3 linked regions of the Coturnix japonica genome follow. Each later gene encodes a partner of the first gene's protein in a complex. Links are inferred from orthologs where the notes say so. Each region holds a gene or a part of one and is shown on either strand. Other genes may lie near its edges.

Region 1 (3,560 bases):
TGAAGTCTTGTTTTTTTGCTGTTCTTTTACAGCATTAGCATATTAGGAGTTAATGCTACTCTGCATAATCTTACTATTCAGTAGTTGGTTTTGGGAAAATTAACTTCAGTACTACTTGAATAATGCAACTAAAGTAAATACGTGGGTACTTTAGGTTGAATACATTATTTTCTTTCCTATTACCCCTGTTTGTCTTTTTTTCCCTTCTTTAGGAAATTTGTGAAAGAACAAAAACAAGTTCAGGAAGAAATTAGTAGAATGTCATCTAAAGCAATGCTTAAAGTACAAGAAGATATTAAAGCTCTGAAACAGCTTCTCTCTGTAGTTGCCAGTGGATTACAAAGAAACACTCTTAATATTGACAAGCTGAAAATGGAAACTGCGCAGGTATCGCACACTTTCTGTTAAGCAGAGTTTGAGTGTTCATTGTTTATTGTAGAATCTACAGCTTTCTCAATCAGTCAAGGGAAGTTGTTGAAACTCCAAATTGAAGCAGTTGTAAACAAAGTGAAAAGTTGAATCCCTTCTGATCTTTTTGGAATTACTGGAGGTGACTGACTGAAATCTGCGATGCCAGTGTTTTCAGATAAGTGTAAAAGCAAGGAGAGCGTTACTTAGGAAAGCACCCTACTTGCGTAGACAGCAGAAGGGAATATGCACCCACTGTAGTTTGATTTCAGTTCCCTATTCAACTGATAGTTAGTGAAGGTTTTTTTGCAGTCACGTGCCCAACTCGGGGAGCAGTGGAGACACATGTTTTCTTATCACTTAAAAGGTATTAGGGACCAAAGTGTCTAATTACATCTAGTATTTATTTAATGAAGAAGTCAACTCTGTCTACCAGTCTTTGTATTAACTATCCAACCAGTGTGAGCTCAAGTTTTGGTTCAGGTGCTTTTGAACTTAAGCTCTGTGTTGCTATTGCTTTCATCTGTCTTGTCCTGGCTGCTTGCTTTGTTTCTAAATGTATTTTATTCTAAAGTGAAAATATGCTCCTAAATTTTGAAAAGAGATACTCTGTAGTTGTGCTCTGGCAATTATTTGCTGTGAAAGCAAACAACTTGTTAGTAGTGCTCTTATTTCCTTATGATTAGTAACAAAGCCAGGCACTGAGAAATGATTAATGATAGTATTATTAGAAAGCGTTAAACAACATCTAGTGTAATCATCATGTTTAAAAAGATCTTTTCCATAGGAAAAGAAAATTATCACACTATTAAGCCTTTTTTAAAGGCGAGATAACCCTTCTTGTAATTTCTTTTAGGCATGTTATTTTCTTGTCATTATTTTTCTTAGTCTTTAATAAATTAATAGGCTGTCTGAAGTACAACAGAATGCAAACCTTACCTGTGACAGTCTGCCCATAGCAGGAGGGCTGGACTAGATGATATTAAAAGACTAGATGATGAGTAAACTTTGAGGGTGTACAGCTGCCTGCTTCTTGTCTAAACATATTTTGATATCAGCAGTTCTTCAACTTCATGCCAATCTATTCTTTGAAGAATTTCTGGTCAGATTCTGTTGTAGTTTTAACTTAAATGTTTTCTTCTCATATTTGTGAATTAACTGTAAAATTGTAGTTATGCTCATTTTGAACACTTAATTCAGAATCTTACATTTTATCGATTTTTCCTCATTTATTTAGGAGCTAAAGAATGCAGAAATAGCATTAAGAACACAGAAAACTCCTCCTGGCCTGCAGCATGAAAACACAGCCCCAGCAGAGTGAGTTATTGTTGCTTATAAGAAAGAAAAAAAGCCAATAATATAACTTCCTAAGTTGATGTGTTTTTTTCTTCTTGTTATTCCTGTACTGAATGCTTATACATGTCTACTTATATAGACGTGAGAAATACAGTCCTTGCTCTTTTTCTACTAGTAGAAGAACATCAAGAATGTCATTAGGACATACCTGCTGCAAGTAATGAAATGAGTATAGGCAGCTAATGCGGTGGTGTGGTCTTTGTTTTCAAATGGTGGCAAATCACTAAAATCATGTGATTAAACTTTACTGTTTTACTCACCTAGCTACTTCAGAATCTTGGTAGAGCAGTTTGAAGTACAACTGCAGCAGTATAGGCAACAAATAGAAGAACTGGAAAATCATCTTGCTACTCAAGCAAATAATTCACATATAACTCCACAAGGTAAATGTTTCTACTTACATGTTTCATACACAGAAACTAATATTATACCTATAATAGGCTTAATAATAAAAAACTAACAGTAATTAATCTCCTCATCTAATGTACAGAAACAAATGTTCAGATAAATTCTGTGGTTTGGAATGTGTCCTTGAATTTGTAAAGTCCTTTAAGCTTTGTAAAATGAATTTGCTTCCTGAGGTGCAGTTTGTGGGCTGGGTTTGTGTCATTTGGGAACTTTGGAAGGTGCCTGGGAATATAAATTCCAGCTTCTGTGCATCTGAAAATGAGGTGTAAAGAAGTGTGTTATATTCGTACACTCTGTAAGCATAGGACAGTCTGTCTTCTGCTCTTTCATGAGAGTGGTTTCTGAGTCTTTCCTACATCTATCTGAGGCTCTTGGATGGGATCTGGGAATGGAAGTTTTCCTTGTTTACGTTCCTAATGATCTCATAAGCATCAGAGGAATCGCCCTTCAGTCTTTTCTTAACTTGCCTCCAGATTGCCTGGTTGTTTGGTTTAGGGTTAGGTTTTTTTTTGTTTGTTCTGCTTCCAGACCACTGATTTGTCATTGTGCAGTGTTCTTAATGTTACAGTGGGAAAACCTGATTTCATTTCCATTTAGTTTTACTTTCCTCCCTTCTTCCATCCCCATTAGTGAGACTTGTGTACCTACCTGCTGTTGTAATGTGAGGTCTCCATGCATCATAATTGCCCTACATGAGTGTGGGAAGTGATAAAGTCTTGGTTTTGTTTCTGGTGGGGTGTTTTTATTTAGGGTTTTTTTTCCCCACAAAATTAAGTTTGGAGCCCTGAGAAATGATGCTTCAAAAACTAGTTCTGTGTGTGGGAAGACAGGTGTTACATCACAAGTTCTGGGTTTCCCATAGACATTAATTTATTTCATACAGTCTTTTTGTGCTTTATTCTACCTGGATTCAGAGTGGGCTTCTTGCTACAGTATAAACATTAAGCCTTTCCTCATGGAAGTAAGGTTGTCACTTACAATATTCTATGTGCCTTTTACAGATTTGTCTATGGCTATGCAGCAAATCTATCAAACGTTTGTAGCTTTAGCAGCACAACTTCAGTCCATACATGAAAACGTAAAGGTATGTTGCTTTGATGCATTTCTATGTGTTTAGTGAAAAAACTGGGGAGTCACAGTTACTGATACTGTGTCTTCAACTATGCTTTTTTCTGTTAAATTCTTTTAAGAAATGACAATTGTCTGATATGCTTGGATTAAAAGGGTAACTTCCATTCAGCTGAAGTTGAATTTGAAACATTTGCTAATAGTGATGGTGGCAACTGAGCTGTCACTAAAGTTATAACGTTTTTCATCTAATTTCTTTTTCATTGTTAATCAGTTACATGAAGGATGTTGGTGGGAAGAAATGTGCTCTGGCTTTGTTT
Region 2 (4,084 bases), on another chromosome or scaffold:
CCAGCAGCAAGTGCAGCTGCTGCCACTGAGCAGCCCGCCTCGCCTGTAAATAGCTGCCATGCTTTGGGGACAGGGTGGGGGGTGATGGGGGCCACAAACACAAAACAAAGCTTATTTTTACATGTTTTGTACCTTCTGTGCTGATGGAGGAAATAAATGAGTTTGGCTGAGCCCTGATGCTGCTTGTGACACGTGTGTGGGAGCACTGGTGCTGGGGGCTGCGCCAACCCCCTGTGGGCTGTGGTTTGAGGGGACAGAGTGGTGTCGTGCAGTTGGGGTGCTCTGTTTCACAGCCCCTGGTGAGTGGGGGGCTCAGGGTGCCACATGGGGCAGGTGTGAGCACAGCCCGGCCGGCTCCTGCCCTGGGGGGGCAGACAAGGAGGGGGGTGGGGGCGTGGGAAGGCGCCTGGCTGCTCTTTTCCTTCCGAATACACCTGCCAAGCGAAAGTTGGCCCTACCTGTGCTGCAGGGCACAGCCTGCCCACACATGTCTGTGTGCTGTGTGCTCTGCTCCTGGCCATGCTGCCTCGTCCCATGCTCTGCGGGTGGGGACAGCTCGTGCCCTCCAATGGGGCTGGGAGCCGTGTGGGGTGGGTGGCCCTGAGTCCCCGGGCCCCTCGCTGGGGTGGTGCTGGAGATGGGAAAGGGGCTGCCCCGCTCAGTGTGTATTTGCCTTGTAAATCAGGGCCTGGGCTCCTTCCCAGCCGTGCCCCGGGTTGGAGCAGCCCCCAGGACGAGCTCTGGGGGCCGTGCCTTCAAACATGAGCGCTGTGGGAAGGTGTGAGGGCAATGTCTGCTGAGGGGAGCTGGGCTGAGGGGGGTGTGCGGCCCGGGGTCCCTGCAGGGTGGGTTTTTTAATTGAAATCAAGTTTTTCTTTATGTGAGTGAGTGAGCCTCACATCCTACATGGCACAATGGACACAAGTGGGGAATGGGGAACAGATGGCTGTGGGGGTTCAGGGCAGCGAACAGCCGTACTGATGGCAGTCTGCAGGCGTTCCGCTTTTCGTTTATAGTGTTTTCATCTCTGACCCCCGGCCCCGCGCGGCCGTCGGGCCGTTCCTCATTGGAAGAGGCGGCGGGCAGCCTCGAACCCGCGTCTCCCGGCTCACCGCCCCCATAACCACGCACAGCCCGCGCCGCCTCCCAGCGCCTCAATCACTTCTTGTCGCGAGACGAGCTGGAGGGGCGGGACTCAGCTCGACAACCAATGGAAATGCGTAGCGTCAGGAAGCGCGCCGGCTCGACCAATGGGCTGGCGGGGAAGGGGGAGAGCGTGGCCAATGGTGGCGCGCGGCGCGGGCGTGCAGGCGCGGCGGCCGGAGCGGCGGGCAGGTGAGTGAGGGGCGGTGGGCGCGGCGGGGATCGCGGTGCGGGCGGCCTCCGTCCTCCGTCCTCACATCGTTCTGCTCCCCGGCTCCTGAGCTCGGCGCTCCCTGCCCTGGGCGGGCGCTGAGGCGCGGGGCCTCCTGTGAGCGGGTGCCCTCGGGCCGAGGCAATGTCTGCCAGCTGTGCGGGCCGCTGCCGGGGGTCCGGGCCGGGCTGTGTGAGGGCTGGAGGCGGGGGGAGATGCACGGGGTGATGGCGGGTGGGGCCGACATGAGGGGACCGAAAGGATGGACTGACTGGGAATGGCTACATCAGCTCGTGTGGTTCCTGCTTGTTCCTGCGGTGCTGATAGCAAAGGAAAGATTGTGGGGAGAGGATCCGAGCTACAACATAAGGAGCGTGAGGGGAGTGAGCAGGGCAGGCGGCACGGCAGTGCAGTAAGACCTCAGAAACAGCTGGTTTTATTCAGTTTGTGCTGTAAAAGCTCTATGAGACCAGAGCTTGGGAGCCGCGATCAAAGGGTTGGTAACTTACACACCTGCCTGCAGCTGAAGAACAAAGCATACAGGACTGGGAAATATAGGGATGGCAGCTGATTTAATTTGTGGGTGGTGGAATGAACACTGAGTTGAGGAGTTCGTTGCTGTGTGCTCTGTTCAGGACTTTCCTACATCCAGGGCACTGTACCAGCTGGAGCACCACATGCAGCTTGGAGCCCTTACGTGTTTGGTTTTAGTGTGGCTTGTGCTTTTAGCTTAAACCAGGAGGTGGTGTGGCTCCCTTTGCTAGGTTTGATTAAAAGTCGTGTAGCAGAGGGCAATTTGTGGACAACATGTAATAGATGTGTGGTTTGCAATCGGTCCTTTTCCCTTATAGAAGTTGAAAATGAGTCAGGGACAGACCTTGGGAGCGGGAGCAGGTGACCTGTGTGTGCTGCTGGTGGGGCTCAGTTGTCTGTACCATTCCTGCCCTACGTGTGCTCTGTTTAACAAGCTCATTGACAGTTCCTGCATTCTTAGAAAGGAGCTTAATATCAGTGTCTAATATCACGGAAGTGGCATTTTTCATTCATTCAAGATATACATGTATGTATTTTGCCGCCTGCTCTTTGCTTTCATACTCAGTCACTTACTCTCTTCCTTCCAAAGGGAGCGGATGCTGACTTGTCACATGGGTCTCTGGAGCACTCTGAGAGGGTAACGCTGGATTTCTTCCTCTTTGTTTTGTCTTGGGAAGAATCTTTTTGCCCCTGGTTGGATTGTACTCTTTATCAGCTCTTCTGATTGCAGTGGGTGAGGCTTCCCTCTGAATTTTTAGTCAGTCTCTTTAAATAAATTAATTATAATTAGGTGGCACAAAGACTGTCAGTGTATGAAGTACAGCAGACACTTGCTTACACATGGGAGCTCTTCAGCTTGAAGTCTTTATGAAGCTCATATGGTGAAATGTTCAGCATGGCCGTATTTGGAGTAGGACAGCACTCTTCATCTGCTAGCACTGCAGGGCCTGGCTTTCCACGACCAGCCGGCATTTATGGTCAGTCTGAACAGAATTAGAAACCTGTCATCATTTCTGATTTCATTTTGGCTGAAATCCAGCCAGCTTGTAGAGTTTGTAACATCTACATGCGGTTTTAAATGTTGGGAAAACATTAAATGGGGCTTTTATTGGACAAGCAATAGCAGACTAATGCAGCAGCTTCTATTGATAAGTCATCAAAGTCGTTTTACAGAAGGGCTTTTTCAGCCCTGGCTTCTAGCCCTGGGTCGATCCAGTTTCACCGAAGTTAGTTTAATTTCTGGTGTATTTTCTCTCCCTTAGGTGTAAGTTGTTGCACATTCTGCAGCCAGACACAACAGTCTGCTGTCATTTGCTCGTCCCTGTGGCAGCAGTTTTCCATCTTGCACAGCGGCATTTGGAGTCAGACTGCAGCCTCCTGAATGCAGTAAATTCTGACAGCATGGAGACTAAGTAGTTCATGCTGTTACCCGGTCTGGATGTTTGAAGTCTGTCCCTTGGAACACGCTGCTGTTTGAGCTCTAGAGAAAGGTTTGAGCTCTCATTCCCAGTGTTTGGTTATAATCAAAGGTAGTTGGAGTTGCTTCAAATTAACAAGTTTATTCTATATTTGCTGAATTCAGTCTCTGTTTTCCAGAGTCATTACGGTTGTCCTACCTTGGCAGATTTGTGGGACAGCCTGTATATGGAATTGACTTGGGATCCGTGCTTGACAATTGCAGTCTGTGGAGCTATTTGTAGTCCCCTGACTCTCTGTGCTTTTGGTTTTAGAGCTCTGAGAAGTCAGTGCCTTCTCACACTCTTGGCTTTTCATCTTGTTCTTAATGAGAAGAGGAAGCAGACTGATTTGAATCAAATCAAGCTGAAGTCTGTGCTGCTCCTGCACTCACTGCTTCCTGCTTTCTAACGGTACAGGAGCGTGGCTGTTGTGGTCAGCCTCTGCCAGTGCAGGCAGCTTCTGCTGGGGCACACTGAGGTATCACAAGTAAACACTGGAAAGATGCTCTGTACTGCATTGCAGAGCATGGAACTGCTGCTTTCCACCACGCCCCTCTCTCCTCCCAGCCATCTCAGTGGCATGCTAGTCTGTTCAAACAAATCCAGACCCTGCTGTCTCTCCTGAACAATAGGTCAGTGCACATGGGGTTGCTACGTCCCCTAGCAGCTCCTGGTTTTCCAGAGGTGGATGAGGGATGGATGTGGAATTCTCTGTGCCTGGATGGAGGCTGTGGAGCTC
Region 3 (4,156 bases), on another chromosome or scaffold:
TATTTTCTCTGTATTATTTTTGTTGCTTTTCCTGCAAACATAAAAGTGATTCTGCCAATCAGAGCTATCTTTGTGATGCAGGGTGACTGTGGTCACATGGAAAGTACTACAGGGAGCCTGAGCAATCTCAGCTGTCAAGTATGTATATATCAGTATGCTGAATGCCCGTGTCACCTGGAGCAGGCAGCCCCCTGTATGGGGTGCGTCCTGGCCCTTTTCCTCCACTCCCCCCTGCCTCACTTCTGCCTCTGCACATGCACAGGGAAATCTGGAACATCTCTGCATCATCCCAGTGCTGCTACCTGCCAAAGCTGCCATCCACCCTCCAGCACCTCCCTTGCACAGTGAGGGTTCCCTTAAGTAAATCTGCACTTAGAAGTAGGAGCCAAGAGCTTTTTCCTTTCCTCTCTGGAGTTTAGGAAATTTAGCTTCCCTGCACGGAAGCTCTCTAATGTGCCACATTCAATCTTCCTGTGTTGCAACTTTTTTCTTTCAGAGCACTGAAGAAGAAAGGTCCCCGCTCATCAGGACATAGTAGTAGATCTTCTTAAATACGTGAGCTTGGAGAATAAATCATTAGAGCTTACCTAATACCAGCTACCACTACCCAGTGTTGTCCACTGTGGAGAAACAGTCGTGTCAAGTGTAACGTTCAAAGATGGAAGAGAATCTGCACTGTCGTCAGGGGAGGAGACTTTTCTTAGCAGCTAAGTTACAACTACTGAACTACATTTTAAAACTGCTCGAGATCCTGCTTTTTTCAGCCCCGCACTCTCTCGTACCTGCACTGACACTCAGAGACCATCATAACCACTTCCTCGGTGAAAATAAAACGGCCTGATTCGTTACAGAAACGACGGGTAACATTTACAAATGGCCTTAGGAGCGTGGGCTGCAAAGAACCCTTGTAGAGATGCAGCAGGTTCCTGTGTCACTCACACACCTGTCGGTTTCCTGTAGCCTCACTGTTGTCTTTTCTGTAAAGTCCTGCGCGCTGCTTCCTGCCGGTTTGCACTGACTGTTTGGTATTAAAGTACAGAACGGATCTGTACAACTGATCCAAACCGCTGCGTGGAATTCCTTAAACACCTGGTGCTAGCAGGTAGAAAGAAGCCAACCCCTGGGAGTGCTCTTCCATTCAGACCTTGTAGCTGTTCTAACCCTGCATGGGATCCCATTGCTTGTAGGGGATATCCTTAAAGTTCATGGGGTTCTTTTCCCTTCAACTGAAAAAGAGAAAGCAAACCAAACTTGCATGGTGTTGCTGTAAGGCACAGCAGAGGTGTGCTTTTGCTCACTGGTGGTATCTCAGCTACCAGCAGTGTGCGTTTTGTACACACGGGTTTGTTGGTGACATTTGTTGTTTGGGATCAAAACACACCTCCAGCCTGAGGTACGTGCAAGGCCTGGAAAAGCTCTCAGCATTTTTTCCTCGCCAAGTGGAAGCTGCTTTATGAAAACCAGTCCCAGCAGTGGGACTTTTCCCACTGATGGAGCATTCTAATTGAGACGCGTTTCCATTAGATGTAGACAGTGACACACGTTTTAAAATGTATCATTTTCTTCCACACAGAGGTATAGCGGGGTTTATCCTGTTTGTTTTTCTCCATTGGTTTGCTTCGTTGGGTTTTTTTTGCCTTGTGGGTGCCTCGTTCAAGTTTTATTCTAACTGGGCTGGCTAACGATGCTCACCGTTACTTAGGCTCCACATTACCAAGCCCTGTCTGAGCTTCTCTCGGTAAACAGGCGAGAAAGTTCTAAGAGAACGTTAGCGCTTCCGATGGCGAAAGGCCTACAGCAGGGCGGTCATTACAGCAGGCCGGTCTCTCCGTCACCCTCCGCCCGCCCCCCGTCCCGCAGTATCTGTGCTGGACCGCCTGGCGGCGCGTTATGGCGCAGGCGGAGCATGGCGGCCCGCCCCGTCTGGAAGCGCCGTAGTGACGGGGCCGGAAGCACCACCCGTTGTTTCCTGGCGGTGCGGGCTGCGGGCACGCCTCCCGCCGCTGCGGCCCCTCATGGCCTTCAACTTCGGGGCGGCGGCGGGCGCCGGGGCCTCCAACCCTAGCGGTGAGTGCGGGGCCTCCGCGTGGGGATGGAGGGAGAGCCGTGAAGGGCCGGCTGTGAGTGCGGCTGGAGCCAGCCCCGCCGGCGGGCTGCAGGGCGACACTGGGCTTACTGTGCCATACGGCTCAGGAACGCCATCCCAATAGCAACGTGGGGAGAACGGGGTTAAACCTTGCTTTTAGCTGCTAAGCGTTTCGTGCTTGGTGCCAGTTAATGCCTTACTCTCGTTATTAACTATGCCTGCCTCGTCTTTAGTGCCAAAACGGTATGTCAGCTGTTACTTCCGAACCTACCTTTCTGCAGAACTAACGCCGCCTTGCTCTCTTTCTGCTTCATGCTTGTCAGGATTTGGTGGGCTTGAAACCACAAACTCCACCGCCGGTGGGTTTAATTTTGGGGGTTTCGGATTAGCTGCTAATCCCGCAGTGAATTTTAATATTGGGAATTTCGGTGTTTCTACTACCTCAACTCCGCCATTCAATTTTGGTAACAGTCTGGCAAGTGCAGGTAGATATTACACATATACTTGTTCTGTAATAAATGTGAATAGCAGAGGTCCAAGAATTGCGTTCCTGACTCAGAATCTGTGCTGAACTTCCTTTATATACAGTGAAGACTGGAGGCAAAAGCTCTGTAGTGGAATGAGTTATAGAGCCGTGCAATTATAAGGGTTTTTATTTTTGCCTACTAAATTCTCCAGAAGTAGCTGATAAGGAAAAATGACCACATGGCTGATTAGACACTGAACTGGAGATGAATCACAGTAACCTGCTAGCCTTATCCCATCCAAAATCGAGTCTCAATCACACAGCAGAACTGAAACATTGGTTCTGCCTTTAGGTCTGGGCCATCAGAACTGTTGCAGAGCTGGTCCCTAATGCCTCATTTCCTCACGTGACATTCTTGGACTGCTGCAGTCATGGTTTTCATCCTCCCCATGTCTCCTCATCGGCCTTCTGTTGGTTGCCATGAATGTGCTGCACTTCAGTTGTTTCCGTGGAGAAACAAATTTTATACGATCAGCAATAAAATGAACAGCTCTCACTTTTACCTCCATTCCTAAAACTGTTCTGCCTCTTGACGTGGAGCATGTCCCAGCAAAGTAATTCCCTGGGGGGGTTTTGTCCAGCATGGTGTGTGCTGACTGCTTGTTGAGAAAACCCTTTGTAGCCCCATGTAGGCTCATCAGTTCTGAGTAACCAGCTGATAAATTTCCAGCTAAGTCTGTCCCATTTTGTTAAAACAAAATTGCTCAACTATATGGATTTCTCACACTTTTTCCTGAATGGAATTCTCCCTTGGTTCTTGTTGCCGCTGCTCGTATAGGAGTTATATTCATTCCACGGCATCATCACTCCCTGTGTTAGAATACTCCTACCTGTTTTGTGAGCTCAAGGGATCTGGTTTGGTTTTTAACTGGGTATGAGTGCTACTGGACTGTATTTCTTGAGCTGAATTGTAACTAATCCAAGAGAACTTGGATATATTATTTTGTTCAGTAGTTTGCACTTTTAGAGCCTTCTCTAAGAAAGGGTGTTAAATTGCTGTGAACACAAATCTGTCTAAAAATTGTGTCGTCTGCTGTTGCTGCTAGGGTTGCTTATGTGCTGATAGGACTGAAACCTGGAAGTTTCAGGGAGCAGCTCTTACATTTAGTTGTGTCGTTTGCTGAATTAAAATAAAATGTGGCTGCACATCAGCTTTGATTTGAGCTCTTTATTTTGTATGTATATACAAGACGGTAAGTGCAGTAGGTCTGAACAGGCTTCTTTTTTGCTGTTGACACGTGAATGAGAACTGGCAGCATTGCTTTGTTTTGATACATTGTATATACTAGACTGTCCATCTTCATTTAAATGTGTGTAAAATCGGTCAGAAACATGGAGGATTTGAAACACGGGGCTATTCAGGTGTCCATATGCTGCACATTGGGTCAGATGGTGCATTAGCAAAGAGATGGTGTGGTCCGAAGGACAAATGCAAAGATTTTTGGGAGCTGTGGTGGAGCTTGGGCCTGTGCTTGGGTTTCCCCCTGCTAGCCAGCAGCTGGTTTTCCTGGAAACCTGTGGGCAGCTGCTAAGTTTAGTGTGTT

Evidence for each region. The genes of interacting proteins can lie anywhere in the genome.
Region 2: NUP58 (region 1) and NUP93 share a complex: the UniProt entries of both Homo sapiens proteins name them as parts of the p62 complex. The link is inferred for Coturnix japonica from reciprocal best matches to the Homo sapiens genes NUP58 and NUP93.
Region 3: the proteins of NUP58 (region 1) and NUP54 are in contact, whole or in part, in a crystal structure (PDB 4JO7), measured with the Homo sapiens proteins. The link is inferred for Coturnix japonica from reciprocal best matches to the Homo sapiens genes NUP58 and NUP54. Residues at the interface, in NP_054808.1 of Homo sapiens: Pro342, Tyr345, Phe346, Leu349, Val350, Phe353, Gln356, Leu357, Tyr360, Gln363, Ile364, Leu367, Leu371, Gln374, Ser378, Ile392, Tyr393, Phe396, Leu399, Ala400, Leu403, Ile406, His407, Val410, Lys414, Tyr417, Tyr420, Arg421; in NP_059122.2 of Homo sapiens: Tyr453, Leu459, Glu462, His466, Leu467, Gln469, Gln470, Gln471, Gly473, Leu474, His476, Leu477, Ile478, Ile480, Ile481, Asp484, Leu485, Ile488, Lys489, Leu490, Val491.

What each region holds. Positions count from the first base shown.
Region 1 is NC_029516.1:158,385,981-158,389,540, reverse strand, and holds part of NUP58 (nucleoporin p58/p45), read left to right. Parts: intron 1-212; coding exon 213-387; intron 388-1,645; coding exon 1,646-1,725; intron 1,726-2,028; coding exon 2,029-2,147; intron 2,148-3,173; coding exon 3,174-3,256; intron 3,257-3,560. UniProt on the Homo sapiens protein: Component of the nuclear pore complex, a complex required for the trafficking across the nuclear membrane.
Region 2 is NC_029526.1:559,016-563,099, forward strand, and holds the start of NUP93 (nuclear pore complex protein Nup93), read left to right. Parts: upstream 1-1,224; 5' UTR 1,225-1,335; intron 1,336-1,615; exon of another isoform or gene 1,616-2,525; intron 2,526-2,536; exon of another isoform or gene 2,537-2,621; intron 2,622-3,150; exon of another isoform or gene 3,151-3,417; intron 3,418-4,084. UniProt on the Homo sapiens protein: Plays a role in the nuclear pore complex (NPC) assembly and/or maintenance. May anchor nucleoporins, but not NUP153 and TPR, to the NPC. During renal development, regulates podocyte migration and proliferation through SMAD4 signaling.
Region 3 is NC_029519.1:44,543,195-44,547,350, forward strand, and holds the start of NUP54 (nucleoporin p54), read left to right. Parts: upstream 1-1,296; 5' UTR 1,297-2,015; coding exon 2,016-2,067; intron 2,068-2,409; coding exon 2,410-2,571; intron 2,572-4,156. Other genes in the region: SCARB2 (lysosome membrane protein 2), read left to right, coding at 497-535. UniProt on the Homo sapiens protein: Component of the nuclear pore complex, a complex required for the trafficking across the nuclear membrane.